2 linked regions of the Caenorhabditis elegans genome follow. The protein of the gene in region 1 purifies or fractionates together with the protein of each later gene. This does not show direct contact. Each region holds a gene or a part of one and is shown in the gene's direction. Other genes may lie near its edges.

Region 1 (6,974 bases):
TGAAATGACTACTGTAGTGCTTGTGTCGATTTACGGGCTGGAATTTTGAAATGAATTTCTTTTGGAATACAGTGCTTTTTTTACAACTTCTACGACTTTAAAGGCGCGCGCATTTTCGCGCAATGGTCTCGCCACGCGCATCCCTTTGATTTGTTGAGCGCGTGGCGAGACCAATGACGGGACCATTTTGTATAAATACGCGCGCCTTTAAAGTCGTAGAAGTGGAAAAAAAATGCACTGTAGTTTCGAAAATCTATTGCTACAGTAGTCATTTAAAGAATTACTGTAGTTTTCGCTACGGGATATATTCAATGTTTCGCAATACGCATTCCAATCAGAACGGTAGTTCGAATTTCCCCCAAAACTAAACGTCTTGCCCTCTGATCCTGTTGCTTCCGCATGACAAATCAAAGAATAGAACGTGGAGCACATAAGCGCAAGCAACAGACACCTACACAAACAGAACTTTGCGGGTGTTGGTGTTTCCGCTGTTGGTTTTTTCTTCAATTGTGAGTCAAATCATACTTGCACTTTTAGCGAAGATTCATGAAGATCAATCGAACAAATAGTTGAAATCGTTATCAAGTTTACTGAGAAAAACCAATTTGATTAGGTAAAATAAATAGAAAAACAATTTTAAAAATTTGAGATCAATCACTGTCGCTGTCAACAGTCGGTTCCTTTTTCCGTGGTGAATCGTCATCTGATGAAACGTCCGAAGAGCTATCAGATCGTGATTTCTGCGGCTTGTCGTCATCAGAATCACTGCTCTGATCTGAACTGTCTCCTGAAAAATTGCATGTTCGCGTGGAAAATAACACTTCAAAACTTAAATTTACTCACCACCTTCTTCTTTCTTCTCTTGAATCTTTTCCAGAATCTCTTGTTTTCTGGTCTTTGGCTGTTCGTATAACTCAGCCTCTCTTTTATTCATGTCTTTTTGTTCCAGTTCGGAAGGATTTCGGTATGTGAGTGTCAATTTGGATTTTCTGCTCAATGCCATTTTTGGTTTTCTTGTCATCTTGACATTACAGTCAACTTCGTTGTACTGGAAAACGTTATTACGATGATACATAATGAAGACGTCACGATCCCTTGGTGGCAAGTGTTCCATTTTAAATGTGTATTCACGGCTTAGCAAGAATTCGTACTTCATATCCTCATCAAATGGTCGTTCTAACTCAAGATCATCCATAAAACTCGTAAGACATCCAATCGTTGGAACAAAAACTGCTGCAAATTTTTGATCTTCGAATTCCATGGCTTTAATAACACTGCTCTCCCGTGCTTGTTGTCGTTCATCTTCTTCTTCGAATTCTGTTGTTATAGTGTCTCCATCAAATTGTACATGAGCAAAGAGGTGTTTCCAGTGATCGAAATCAGGGAAGACAAAGCTTTCTTCAACAGCTTTTACACCCTTCTTGGAGTAATGCTCCTTGACGGGTTTACGAACCTAAAATACGCAAAAGTAGATTTAAATCAAAAAAATATATTCTGGTACTTACATCTTCAAATGTCTTGTTAATGGCATCAATTTGACTCTGCTTGTCACGATACATATCTTCAACTTGTTGATTTTTCTTCAAGTTATAACCAAGCTTCGTCTCCTGTCTATCGGCTGTCACACCGAACCGATTGAATTCAGTTGAAATGTACTCGGTTTTTCTCATCCATGGAACAAGTTTAGAATGCTGTTGAGATCGTTTTGCAATCAATTTAGCGGCGCCATCATCTTCCAGTAAAATATTGTCTTTCTCATCAATTTCCTAAAAGTGAAACATTTCTATCTTTGAAACTGTATATTTCAGGAAAAAACCTACAGTTTCGATTGGATCTTCGTCGTATTTTTTTAGATCAATCAAATCGACATTCAAACCCATGTCGTCGTCACAAATGACTGCATGCTTGTAATCTCGATAAATGGCAGCAGGTTGGAATTCGACAAATCTAAATTCAGAGATATTGAACAATGTCAAACGTTTCAAAATTGGTGTACCTTCCCAGAGGAACAAATGGACAAGTCATAAACTTTGCATCAAATGGGACATCAGGAACAGTATTGGTAAATCGAGGTTTCAGCATGAAATCCACTTTTCGTCTGCAAAATGTTTTCAAAACTTTTCTAGCGATTCAAAACAATAATACTTACGGAGGTTCAATCCTTTTGGCATCTGAGGATTCTTGGGGCATTTTTTATAGTAATTTAGTTATAATATTAAGATACCAATCGGCAGAAACGGCTGCAAATCGAAAAAACTAGTCACCGAGGGAATTAAATTCAAACTCTCACACACGGGTTTTGCGCAAGCGCTCAATGCGCGTCAGCAGGGAACAATGGCGCATAACCAGTTTTGCGCGGGTGTTCAAAAAGTATTTTTTGTTTTGTGAATTTCCAGCGTTCTCGTCACGATAATATTTATTTTATGACAAAATGCCATCATTAACATGATAATATTGTAAAAGGGACAATAATGTAAATATAAAGGTGACAATGAATGGTCCAGCAATGTAGAGAGCCAATGCTCCTTTCTGGAAAATTATATAAATGTGGGGTTGTGAACTTTTAAAGCCTACATTATCATGATCATCGTGCATTCCGATACTTTCACGCTGAACAAAGCTAACAGTATTCTCCATTTCAGCATTTAGCTCTTCACTACTTCCAAAGAAAACATCCCACAGCCAAGATCCGAACATTTTTTCCGAATTCCTTTCACAGCAGAGTGTACCATAATAAACTCGATGCTGGTATGTATGAACACATCGTCCCACTTTTTTCTTGTCACATAACTTCATGAATGTTTCCTCGGTTAGATTGAATGGCTTGAGAATTTCCTTCGAAGCACAACCAGAGGCAAATAGAAATGCGTGTTGCTCATTTCGAACGATTTCAGTGAGCATAATTTGTTGAAAGCATGTCTTGAAACCGGAAGTGCAGTTTTTGTACATGAAAGTTCGAAGTTCTTTGTGTCGAGTTCGGGATAAAATTGGGCAGGATACCTTGAATGAAATAATATTTTTACAATTTTCTAGAAAGATCTTATTTTGAAATTGCTCATAACCTACAAAAACATAACAATAGCAAAACAAATTGCGCCTAGTTTTTTGTCTATCTTTTTTTGTCTATCGTTTCTCTTTCATTAAAAATATTTGAAAGAAAATTTCCCAGGGACAACTGGAAAAGCTCAGGAATAGAACCAAGGAAAGTCCTTTATAACATCTCCTGTGTAAACCTACATTCACATTTTCCCCGTTCGCAACCAACACTTGATTGAAGAGCAAAACTGTATTAACCAAAATCGAAATTATCATAGTTTTCTTCATTGTCTAATTCTTTGATCTCTTCTCAGAAATTCCGAAATAAACTAAAAACTGCAATAAACCAAACTAATTATTGTGGCAGTTCATCACGCTGTTTATTTTGCAGAACAGAAGAGAAATACTATTGATAAGAAATAATAATCATCATTCATTGATTTTCGATTTCTGTTAATTCAATTCTATGCTTAAATTCTAGTGAAAATGTCTCCAAAATCAGTTGTGGTAACCGGATCCAATCGAGGATTGGGATTTGGATTAGTTCAACAATTTCTGAAAGATCCAAATGTTCAGCATGTCATTGCGACTGCAAGAGATGTTGATAAGGCAACTGTAAGTTTTTTCGAGTTTATTTATACTTTATCCGTTGCTGAGATTATAGTTATTTGTATTAGGTTTGTGTTCCTAATATTTGTATATGGTAAAAATTTCCCAACAACATGTATTGGACTACGGCATTCTTAATTTCCAATTTTTCAGGCTCTCAAGGGAATTTGTGATCCACGACTTCACATTCTTCAACTCTCACTCGGATCCGATGAATCAATTGCAAATTTTGCTGAAAAAGTGTCTGAAATTGTTGGAGAATCTGGATTAACTCTTCTTATAAATAATGCAGCTGTGATGCTTCCATATGTAACAAAACAAAAACCTGATCGAAAAGTTGTTCTGGATTTGTTTGAGTCAAATACAATTGGTCCAATGATGCTTACACAAAGCCTTGTACCACTCATAATCAAAGCTTCGAAACGACAGGAAGGCGATACACTTTCCGTTTCTCGTGGTGCAATCATTAATATTGCATCCGAATTTCTTGGTTCAATTTCTGAAAATACCAGTGGTTCTGGTGAATATAAAGCAATGGCATATCGAATGACGAAGTGTGCGGTGAATCAGTTTACAAAAACTCTCTCAATTGATCTAAAAGATGATCATATTTTAACAGCTGGAATTTGTCCAGGAATGGTTCAAACTGATATGAGTAAAGGGAAAGGACAACTTACTGTAAGATCATGCTTTTGAATTTCATAGTTATAATTGTTCCTTTTCAGATTGAGGAATCTTCCTCACAAATATTGGCGGCATTCAACAAACTAGGAGCAACACACAATGGCGGATATTTCCGAAGAGATCTTTCAATTATTCCGTATTAAAGTTTTCAGCCCTTTTTTATCCATTTAATGATTGTTGTACGACTGATTTACTTTCACTGTGTTCTTCTTGGTTTTATTTAAATCTGTATTGTTTATGTGTTGTATCAAACTTCTTAGAAACTTCTTTCTGATAAAGTATTGAAATAGAATTAACATTGAAGTAAACAATCAGATATGGGGACCTAAAAGATCAAGATGCAAAAATTTCAAAATTTGGTGCAATAAGCGGCAGGATTTGAAGCATATCGAATGATCATATCTCTTGAACGTTTCAAATCACGAAAAATCTGACGATCCGAGAAGCCTTGAGATAATTTTGCACAATTTGTCCTTTTTCGTAGTCAGTTAAAGTTATTCCACGACACATAGCTGTAAAAACACAAACGAGCATGAAACCTAACGTTTAGCAAAAAAAAATTGCAAAAAAAAACGAAAAAAGAAAACAAAAACCAAGGGTGGCCGTATCATTTTGTGGATTTTTTTATATGGTTTTTCATCAAAAAATGGTTTATCTTTTTTTACGAACGGTTCATGTATATTTCCAATACTTATCTGAAAGTTAGCCAGTACAGCGAACATTTTCACAAGAAACTATGTTTTGCTATCTCAACCCAGTTTTGAGTTATACCAAAATTTGGGGGTGGCCGTATCATTATGTGGAGCACTGTATATTTGTGATTTATGTAGCGAAATGACCAAACCTCTTTGATTTACCTAGTTTCTCTCATCTCAACAGTTCATTGGCAAACTCAGGTTTTCACTTCTTAATGAGAATTTATAGGATCTCAGAATTATCAAGGATCCCCGGATCCACATTCTTCCCTTGACAGTGACTTGTGATAAATCAATTGATGATTTTGTGATCAAAGTTGGAGAAATTGTTGGATCGGAGGGTCTCAATTTGCTTGTTAATAATGCAGGGATAATCACCAAATACAATAACAAATCGGTTCGTTAATTATTGGTTGAGATGATTAAACTTTTAATATTTTCAGGAGCCAAACCGTTCATTGATTGCCAATCAACTTGATGTCAACACTACAAGTGTAGTTTAAAAAAAAACATCAACTTTCCCTCCAGATGTGCTAGCATACAGAATGAGCAAGGCTGCAGTTAATATGTTTGGTAGAACATTGGCAATTGATCTGAAAGATGATCATATTTTGGTGGTCAACTTCTGTCCAGGATGGGTTCAAACTGGATTAGGAGGACCACTGGCTACCTACACTGTAAGTGATTCTTACACTTTAGCTCTTAATTTTCACAAATTTTGCTTTTAGGTTGAAGAATCAACAACAGAGTTAACTGCCAGTTTCTACAAACTAAACAACTCTCACAGTGGAAGATACTTTGACAGAAACCTCAATCCACACTCATTCTAAAAACATTGAGAGTTTTCTGTTTCTCAAACAGTCATAAAGTTATGTCATTTTTTTCATGATTCAAGACTTTTCAATCAGTCTCAATAAACGGATGACATTTTGTTTGTTTCCAGTTATCACTCTACACTTTTTTCTTTTTTCGGAAAATCAATGTCATCTATTTTCTGACCTTCGATCGCTGAGAATAAGTGTTTCGCGAGAAGATGCAAACTGTTTGTGTTTTAACGTGGAGATTTTTTTTGAACTATTTTTCCCGTGAGCTTTTATGTGGTGAATTTTGTTCCACGTTAACATGTCTTGTTATATTCCTTTCGATTAGTCTGATTTTTCGTCCTCAGTCATGTCTCCAAAAAGTGTTGTCATTACTGGAGCAAATCGTGGAATCGGACTTGGACTTGTTCAAGAATTCGTGAAAGATAAGAATATTCGTCATATTATTGCAACTGCTAGAGATGTTGAGAAAGCAACAGTAAGTTAATTTTTTTTTCAATGTCTGATATTTCGGGCACAAAAAACGTTTCAGGATTTGAAAGCAATTAGTGATCCTCGTGTTACTGCTCTCCAATTGGAAGTTACTTGTGATAAATCAATGGATACTTTTGTCTCAAAAGTTGAAGAAATTGTTGGATCTGATGGACTTAACCTGCTTGTCAATAATGCGGGAAACGCGGTGGATTATCCATGTAAAGCGGTATGTTTAAAAAAAGTTCGGGTACAAGATTAAATTAGGAAATGGATTAGTTGACTATTTCCAAAGCTCACTAACAGTGAAGATTTGTCAACGTGTTGTCCAATTTTTTCTGAAAGTTTTCAAACACAATCAATTTTACATTATTCGGGTGATAGTCGGGGAAGAAATACACAGATATAATTTATCCATTAAAATATCAAATTTTCAGAAACCAAACCGTGCACTGTTTGCCGAGCAGCTGAATGTGAACACGACCAGTGTGGTTATTCTCACTCAAAAACTGATGCCACTTCTCATCAAGGCATCCTCAAAAGTGTCTGGAGATCAACTTTCCGCTTCACGTGCTGCTGTAGTCACTATCTCATCTGGACTTGCATCAATGACTGATTTTGCCACAGGAGGCCATGCTCCAAATGCATTTGCTTACAG
Region 2 (6,911 bases), 7.0 Mb from region 1:
GACGTAATACTAAAAGTAGAAATACGGTGTATTATATAATCGTTTTTAAAAAAAAGTTTTAGAATTTTCTAAAAATCCAAATTTTTCATAATTGCATAGAACATTAAAAACATTACAAAAAACATCAAAAAAGATGCAGCACGAGGAACCTGACATCTCAAATACACACTGAATTATGCCCTTCTCGAGTGATCTGCTTTCGGAAGATAGCTATCGAACCCGGTAGATCAGCCTCTCGTAGATCAAATATGCGTGATAGATTGAAAATTAATCCCGAAATGTTCTTTAATATTGTAGATTCGTAATCTGTGAAATCGAAGAACCACGCTATCAAGTTTTGTTTCAAAAACTGGAAAATGCTGAACCCAAGTTTAGGAATTTTAAGAAATCGTGTACTTACCTCAAATTTTTATTTTTAATTTTCAGTAGAGGCTAGTTAGACACTTTTAGTTGCTTGGCCGTTAATCAATGGAAATTTAATAATTTATACTGTACATATGTTATTTTTCTCTATTTTTTCCATTTTATTTTCGGCAACCGGTTTTTGGAATTTTTTTTGTCAGATTTTTACAGTTTATGTTCTGGATGGGATTGTTTTTTTTAATCTCAAAATTTTTGCACGTTTCAGGTTTCAATATCATTTTACATATTCAATGAGAAATCAACTTTTCTGCAGAAGCCAGCGTCCACTTCAAAATAATTTTTGAACGGTATAGCAAATTGATAATAGTTAAGATTTCAACAACCAGGCTGTCACATAAAAATTGCACTCTATAAAAAATCGGTTTTTCAAAGAATTGGCAAACGTACAGAACTGTTCATTTCAGTACGAAAGTATAACTTTTTCAAATCAAATATTTAAAAAAAATGTAGAAAATTGTTTGTTCAATCTGAAATTTTTATTCATTTTTATTTGAAAGTTTAAAAAATACCTCAAACGGTCGTTGAAAATTTCAGTTTGCTGTGAAAAATTCAAAGTAATTTTTGCACAAAACAACAATTTTAAGGCCCTATTTAAAGTTTCTTTTAGATTTTTCAACAATAAACTTTTTATTTTCAGAAGGCCTTTCCGGCATTTCTATTTTTTTTTTTTTGACTGTAAATATAACTTTTTAAAACAATTTTTGAAAATTTTTACTATGATATTTCCTAATTTTGGCACGATATTACGCTACTTCACCTTTTAAAAATTTTTAATTTGTGTCTTTTGTTGTTTTTTCATTACTTCAAACGATCAAATAATGATTTTCGAACTCACCCACTTTTCGGTCATCTGACAACACTTTTCCCCTCTTATCTAGGCGTCCTTCATTTCAACGTCGTCCACTTCCTACTACTGTTTCATCACATGAACATCTATCTGCATGTATTTCAAATTTCTGTCAATAGTCTCAGTTCTCACATTGCCACAAACAAAAACAATTGTCATGTTTTTGGAATTTGCATGAAAAAAAAGTGAAAATTGGCCTCCGCATCATTGAACATTTTCCGTTACGGTCTTTTCATCTTTTTTCTATTTTTCCGGCATTCATTTTTTGTGACTGAGCGAAAACCGTTTGTTCATCTCTCGTCTCTATTTCTTGCCGATGGTCACAAAATACCTCTTATCATTTATTTTGTTTATCATTTTGTCATCTATTGGTTTAAACGTAGCTTCTCCTTTTACATTTATCAGTTTTCTGCTTTTCGGTCATATTCATTTTGAGTATTTGCAGAATGACCGTAGACTCTATTCCATTGAATACCGGAGCTCAGCTTCCACTTTTCGGATTGGGAACGTGGCAGGTGAAGGATGAAGCTGAGCTGACTGTGGCTCTTCGTGCAGCTCTTGATGCTGGATACAGACTTATTGGTGAGTGCTGTCCTAGATGGAAACCATAATTTTTTTTTAGTCATGTTTTCTTTTCTTCTTCCATTTGAGATGTCACAAAAAAATAATTGGAAAATAAAAACCGATTTAAAAAATGTTATTTTTGGCCAAAAACGGAAAACTCAAAAAAAAAGTGGTGGCTTGCTCAAACCAGTTAATTAAATTTTTTGCACAATTGAAAAAAAACATTAAAAATTTTGAAATTTTTTTCCAACATTTTTTACATTCGGTAACTACGACCCATTTTCAAAAAACCGACAAACTTTACTCACACCTTTAACTTCAGATTTTCCCATTCAAATTCTAGGTATTTTTCTACTTTTTGACACAAATGTTGAGATTTTTTACGGTGTCCAGTTTTTCGAGTTTTCGAATAAAACCATTGGCAAAGTTGATCCTTGGAGGGCAGTTTTGACAACGTTTTGACAACTGAAAATCCCATTTTTTCAATATTCAGACACTGCTCACCTCTACCAAAACGAGCACATTATTGGAAAAGTGCTCCATGAGTACATCTCATCTGGAAAACTGAAACGCGAGGACATCTTCGTCACCTCTAAACTTCCATTTACCGCTCACGCCCCGGAAGATGTTCCAAAATGTGTGGAAAGCCAATTGAAGGCGCTTCAACTTGAGTATATTGACCTGTATTTGATCCATTGCCCATTCCCATTCAAACATCAGGAGGGAAGCTTTGCTCCATTGATGGAGAATGGAGAGCTTGCTGTTACAGAAATCGCTCATATTGATACATGGAGAGCGTTGGAGAAGTTGTACAAGGAGGGAAAGCTTAAGGTTTGTGAGATTTGGTCTTGAAGGAACATCAGCAATTTCGATTTCCATAAAGTAATTGAATCAGGGGTGGGCGGCAATGCCATTCGGCAAATTTTTTTGTCGACAAGTTCGGCAAAACGGCAAATTGCCGGTTTGACGGTTTGCCGGAAGTTTTCATTTTCGGCAATTCGCTGATTCGCCGTTCGCCATTATATAAATTTGCCGGAAGTGTTTAGAGGGAATTTTTTATAAGACGGAAGCACTTAACACTGTGTCTTTTTGAAATTTTTTCCCGTTTTCATTAAACATTTTCAAAGGATTTGCTTATTTTTCAAAACAGATGTAGAAACATTCATAGGATGCGTACAATTTTGCCGATTAAAATTGAAATTCTGAAATTTCCAAAAAAAAAAGTGCAAAACCACAATTTTTCGAAAATTATTGGCCTTTTTTCCGGCAAATTCGGTAAGCAATTTGTCAGTTTGCCGATTTGGCGGAAATTTTTAAACAGGCAGTTTGCCCGAAAAATCGTTTGCCGTCCATGTGATGAAAAGTTTGTATTAAAAATGTTCTTATTAAATTTTTTCTTGAAAATTTCCAGTGGTTTATTCAAAAAATGTAGTCAAAATTAGACCCACCGGGTGTCAGCTGCTGTAACGTTTTTTGGAATACATATACTTATAAAATTTCAGCAGAATGTAGAAAAATTAGTTGCCAATATTTTGTTAACTATCCATGTTCAAGTTACACGTAGTGTTCTTTCTCCAAAAATATAATTTTCAGGCCCTTGGAGTATCCAACTTCAGTTGCAACCAGCTTCAAGCGCTCTATGACGCCGCCGAAGTGAAGCCAGCCAACCAACAAGTCGAGTGTCACATCTATTGGCCACAACAAGAGCTCCGTGCTCTGTGCAAAAAACTCGGAGTCACTGTTACAGCATACGCACCACTTGGCTCACCAGGCAGAAAAGCTGCTCGTCCGGACGGTGTCTGGCCGGAAGGTGACCCACTTCTCGAGCCAATCGTCAAACAACTGGCTGCCAAGTATCACAAAACTGCTGCACAGATTCTCATTCGCCACCTGACTCAACACGGTATTTCGACGATTCCGAAGAGTGTCAGTCCGGACAGAATTGTTGAGAATATCTCGACGTTTGATTTTAAGCTGAGCGATGAGGATATGCACACTTTGAACAGTATCGAGACCAGAACTAGACTTTTCATCGCTGATTTGTAGGTTTTTTATCTATGGAACGAATGTTTTAAAATTAAAAAAAACCATTTCAAGTTTGAAACTTTTATATTTTTGTCGAAATTATTTCCCCTCCACTCGCTCACTTCAGGATATTTTCCCGTCAGTGGGCCGGTAAATCTTCAGTAGTCCAAACCAAGAGTGCGCTGCAATTGGCAATTTCATCAATTGCCGGTTTTGAAAAATTCCGGCAATCGGCGATTCCGGCGATTGCCGAAATTGCAGAAATTGTCGATTGCCGGACATTTTCGGCGATTTTCAAACCTAACTATATTTCGGAAATTGAAAAAATTGCAAATTGGTTTTTAGTATTCAGTTAGTCATTTTCTGAAAGAAAGCGTTAAATCCATCAAGGATTCAATCATTTTGAGCTTGAAAAAGGAAAATTGTTCCTTAAAATGCATGTTTAGGCTAAAATTATATTTCCGGCAATTCTGATTTCCGGCAACTGGCAATTTTGGCAATTGCCAGTTTTGGAAATTTTCGGCAATTGACAATTTTGCCAACTGCCGAAATTTCCAAAATTGGCAAAAATTCGATGGTCCAAACTCAAGAATTCCAGCTCAAAATTATACAATCCTATAAACAAATTAAATCACACTTTTCCTCGTGTAGTACACAAAGCTATGCAAATTATCATTGTATAATTTTTCAGCGCTGTCAAGCATCCATTCTTCCCACACGACGACATTGACACCTCCAAAGTTCCAAAAGTTGGGATCAGACTTCACTAGACTTTTGGCTCAACTTGTGAATTAGAAAACAAAATGGATTGTAGAACTCTTTATCGCACATTTCTTATTATGAATATTTGTAATTTTGATTCGAAATAATGAAGTACATCATATATATATATATATATATATATATATATATATATATATATATATATATATATATATATATTTCCCGCATGTATTTTATGGTCGAATATCAGGGGATAAACCAGTCTCGGAAGTGTTGGCGAAACAATAAAAAAAAACAGTTGATGATCGACAAATAATTGGACAACAGGTCTCGTCTCACTTCAAAAGGTTTCCGACGAAGAGGACCATCGACCTTGAGACCAAACAAACGACAGATTTTTGATTGCATAATTGAGGATGAAGTGAAGGCACTTCTTTTTTTTGGTGTGCATATCAGATCATAGGCGACTACATTTCGGCACCTCATTTGTTTCCTTACGTTATTCCACACTTAATCTGCCAAAACAGTTTGTGGGGGTACAGGTGGTGGGATTTGGAATGAGTTCCTATAAATAATTTAGGCAAATTATGAATGCTATAGGAAATTTCAATTTTTTTTTGAGATGAAAAATGATGAAGTAGAATATTTAAAAAAAAAACAATTTAAATTAGCATATTCAAGAAAAATTTCAAAATTTTTTTATTTACAGTTTCAGTTTTTTTCTATAATAATTTTCAAGCCTACAGCAATTCTTGGAATTTTTCAAAAATTTATGATTTTGGAAATTTTGAGATTTACCAAAAACTTGACAGAAAATTTTGAAAAATCTGATTTTTTTGTAGTTTTTCAGATATTATATTTGATCATGTAAAACGTGTGTATAAGTTTATTGAGACGAAATTCCCACTCACTGCATATTTATACTTTAAAAAACTATTTGGAACAACTAAAATGTATCTATGCAAAGCAGGCGTTTCTGAAATTTCACTACTCGGTTTTTTTTAAACAAAAATCATTATTTTACGTTTTTCAGCTCGGGTGAATATTTTTAGTTTAGTCAAACTTGAAAAATATTTTTTCTCAAAATACCTGCTCCAAAATAATTTTTTTTTCCGAAAATCTATTATGAAACATTTTTATCTTTTCCAAAAGATATAATGATTTTTGCAGCTGAACAAGATATGGTAAATACTTAACATACTTATATAATTTTTGAAAAATAAAAAAAATTGAAAAAAACAGGCACTAACTTCTCAACGGTACCTTAAAAATTAGTTTCAGATCCATTTTCAAATTTTTTAAAAGTTCTGCACGCCTCGTCGACAAGAACTATTAGTCTATGTTTAGTATATTCTAGTTTTTTTTTAACATAAACGTTTTTAATTTAGTGATCTTCTAGAAAATATTAACTATTTGGCAAATTTATCTTGATCTCAAAATTATTTAGTACATTGATTTTTTGAGCCGATACCCTCTGTATACTGGGTAAACAATGATTGATAGAGTGTGCAATTTTTCAGATAAAATCAAGTAAATTTTCTAAACATTCTAAAATTTATGTTCAATCCTTTTTTTAAAGAATTAATACACTATACGAATACTCCTTCGGATTTACTGCCCAAATAGACCCCAGCCATAAAAACGCTGGATTTCCGATCGATAAATTCCCCTACACCATTTGACCCCAGGCGGTTCCCGGGAGCTAAAATTGGAAAGAGGTCAGGGAGACAAAGAGTGATGACGTGGTCACACCGCCTGTAAGTGGTGTCATTTCTTGGATTAGAGTATACTTTTTTTTGGTATTCGCACTATACTGCTATTTCGTGGTCTCGCCATGTTTTTCCGTACTCTTTTGTATACTTTTTCTTTGATTATTTGTTTGTAAATTTGATTGCTCTGAATTTGTAGTCAAGTTTTCGTCTAGTTAACTTGAAAGGTGCAGCTCTGTTTGAATTCGCCAATGTACTTTCGTATAAATACAGTTTCGCAGTACATAATTATTTCAAAGTCCCCCAGTTTTAAAAACATGGTTTTTTTTTTAAATTTATTTTTCAAAATTGAATTCTAGTTTAGAAATCTGTATTTTTGTCAATTTCCTGGCAACAATACCACCTGCCTTTATTAGCTGTGTAGTTGGCTTTGAACTAGTGTGGAGATGGCAGGCTGTCTGGGAAACAGAAGGAGGCGATGTCCTGTACGTCCACTGGCAGACGGTCTTGGCCAGTATACTTTTGAACCTGCTCGCACTATAGTGCTGGTCATGGTTCAATTTTGTTTCCTTTTTAAAAAATTGTATTTAAATTTTGGAATATTTTTCTCGGGATCTAGA

Evidence for each region. Proteins that work in one complex are often made in the same cells at the same time.
Region 2: the proteins of C55A6.7 (region 1) and exc-15 fractionate together in Caenorhabditis elegans (co-fractionation; one large-scale study listed by BioGRID). This does not show direct contact.

The regions. Positions count from the first base shown.
Region 1 is NC_003283.11:11,516,982-11,523,955, reverse strand, and holds C55A6.7 (DeHydrogenases, Short chain), read left to right. Parts: upstream 1-3,425; 5' UTR 3,426-3,522; coding exon 3,523-3,651; intron 3,652-3,798; coding exon 3,799-4,323; intron 4,324-4,370; coding exon 4,371-4,472; 3' UTR 4,473-4,622; downstream 4,623-6,974. Other genes in the region: pafo-1 (RNA polymerase II-associated factor 1 homolog), read right to left, coding at 651-787, 844-1,453, 1,506-1,766, 1,821-1,947, 1,997-2,098, 2,150-2,190; C55A6.11 (uncharacterized protein), read right to left, coding at 2,422-2,529, 2,575-3,000, 3,238-3,324; C55A6.4 (DeHydrogenases, Short chain), read left to right, coding at 6,195-6,323, 6,378-6,545, 6,754-6,974.
Region 2 is NC_003283.11:4,481,789-4,488,699, forward strand, and holds exc-15 (NADP-dependent oxidoreductase domain-containing protein), read left to right. Parts: upstream 1-1,670; 5' UTR 1,671-1,716; coding exon 1,717-1,852; intron 1,853-2,327; coding exon 2,328-2,665; intron 2,666-3,427; coding exon 3,428-3,876; intron 3,877-4,550; coding exon 4,551-4,629; 3' UTR 4,630-4,755; downstream 4,756-6,911.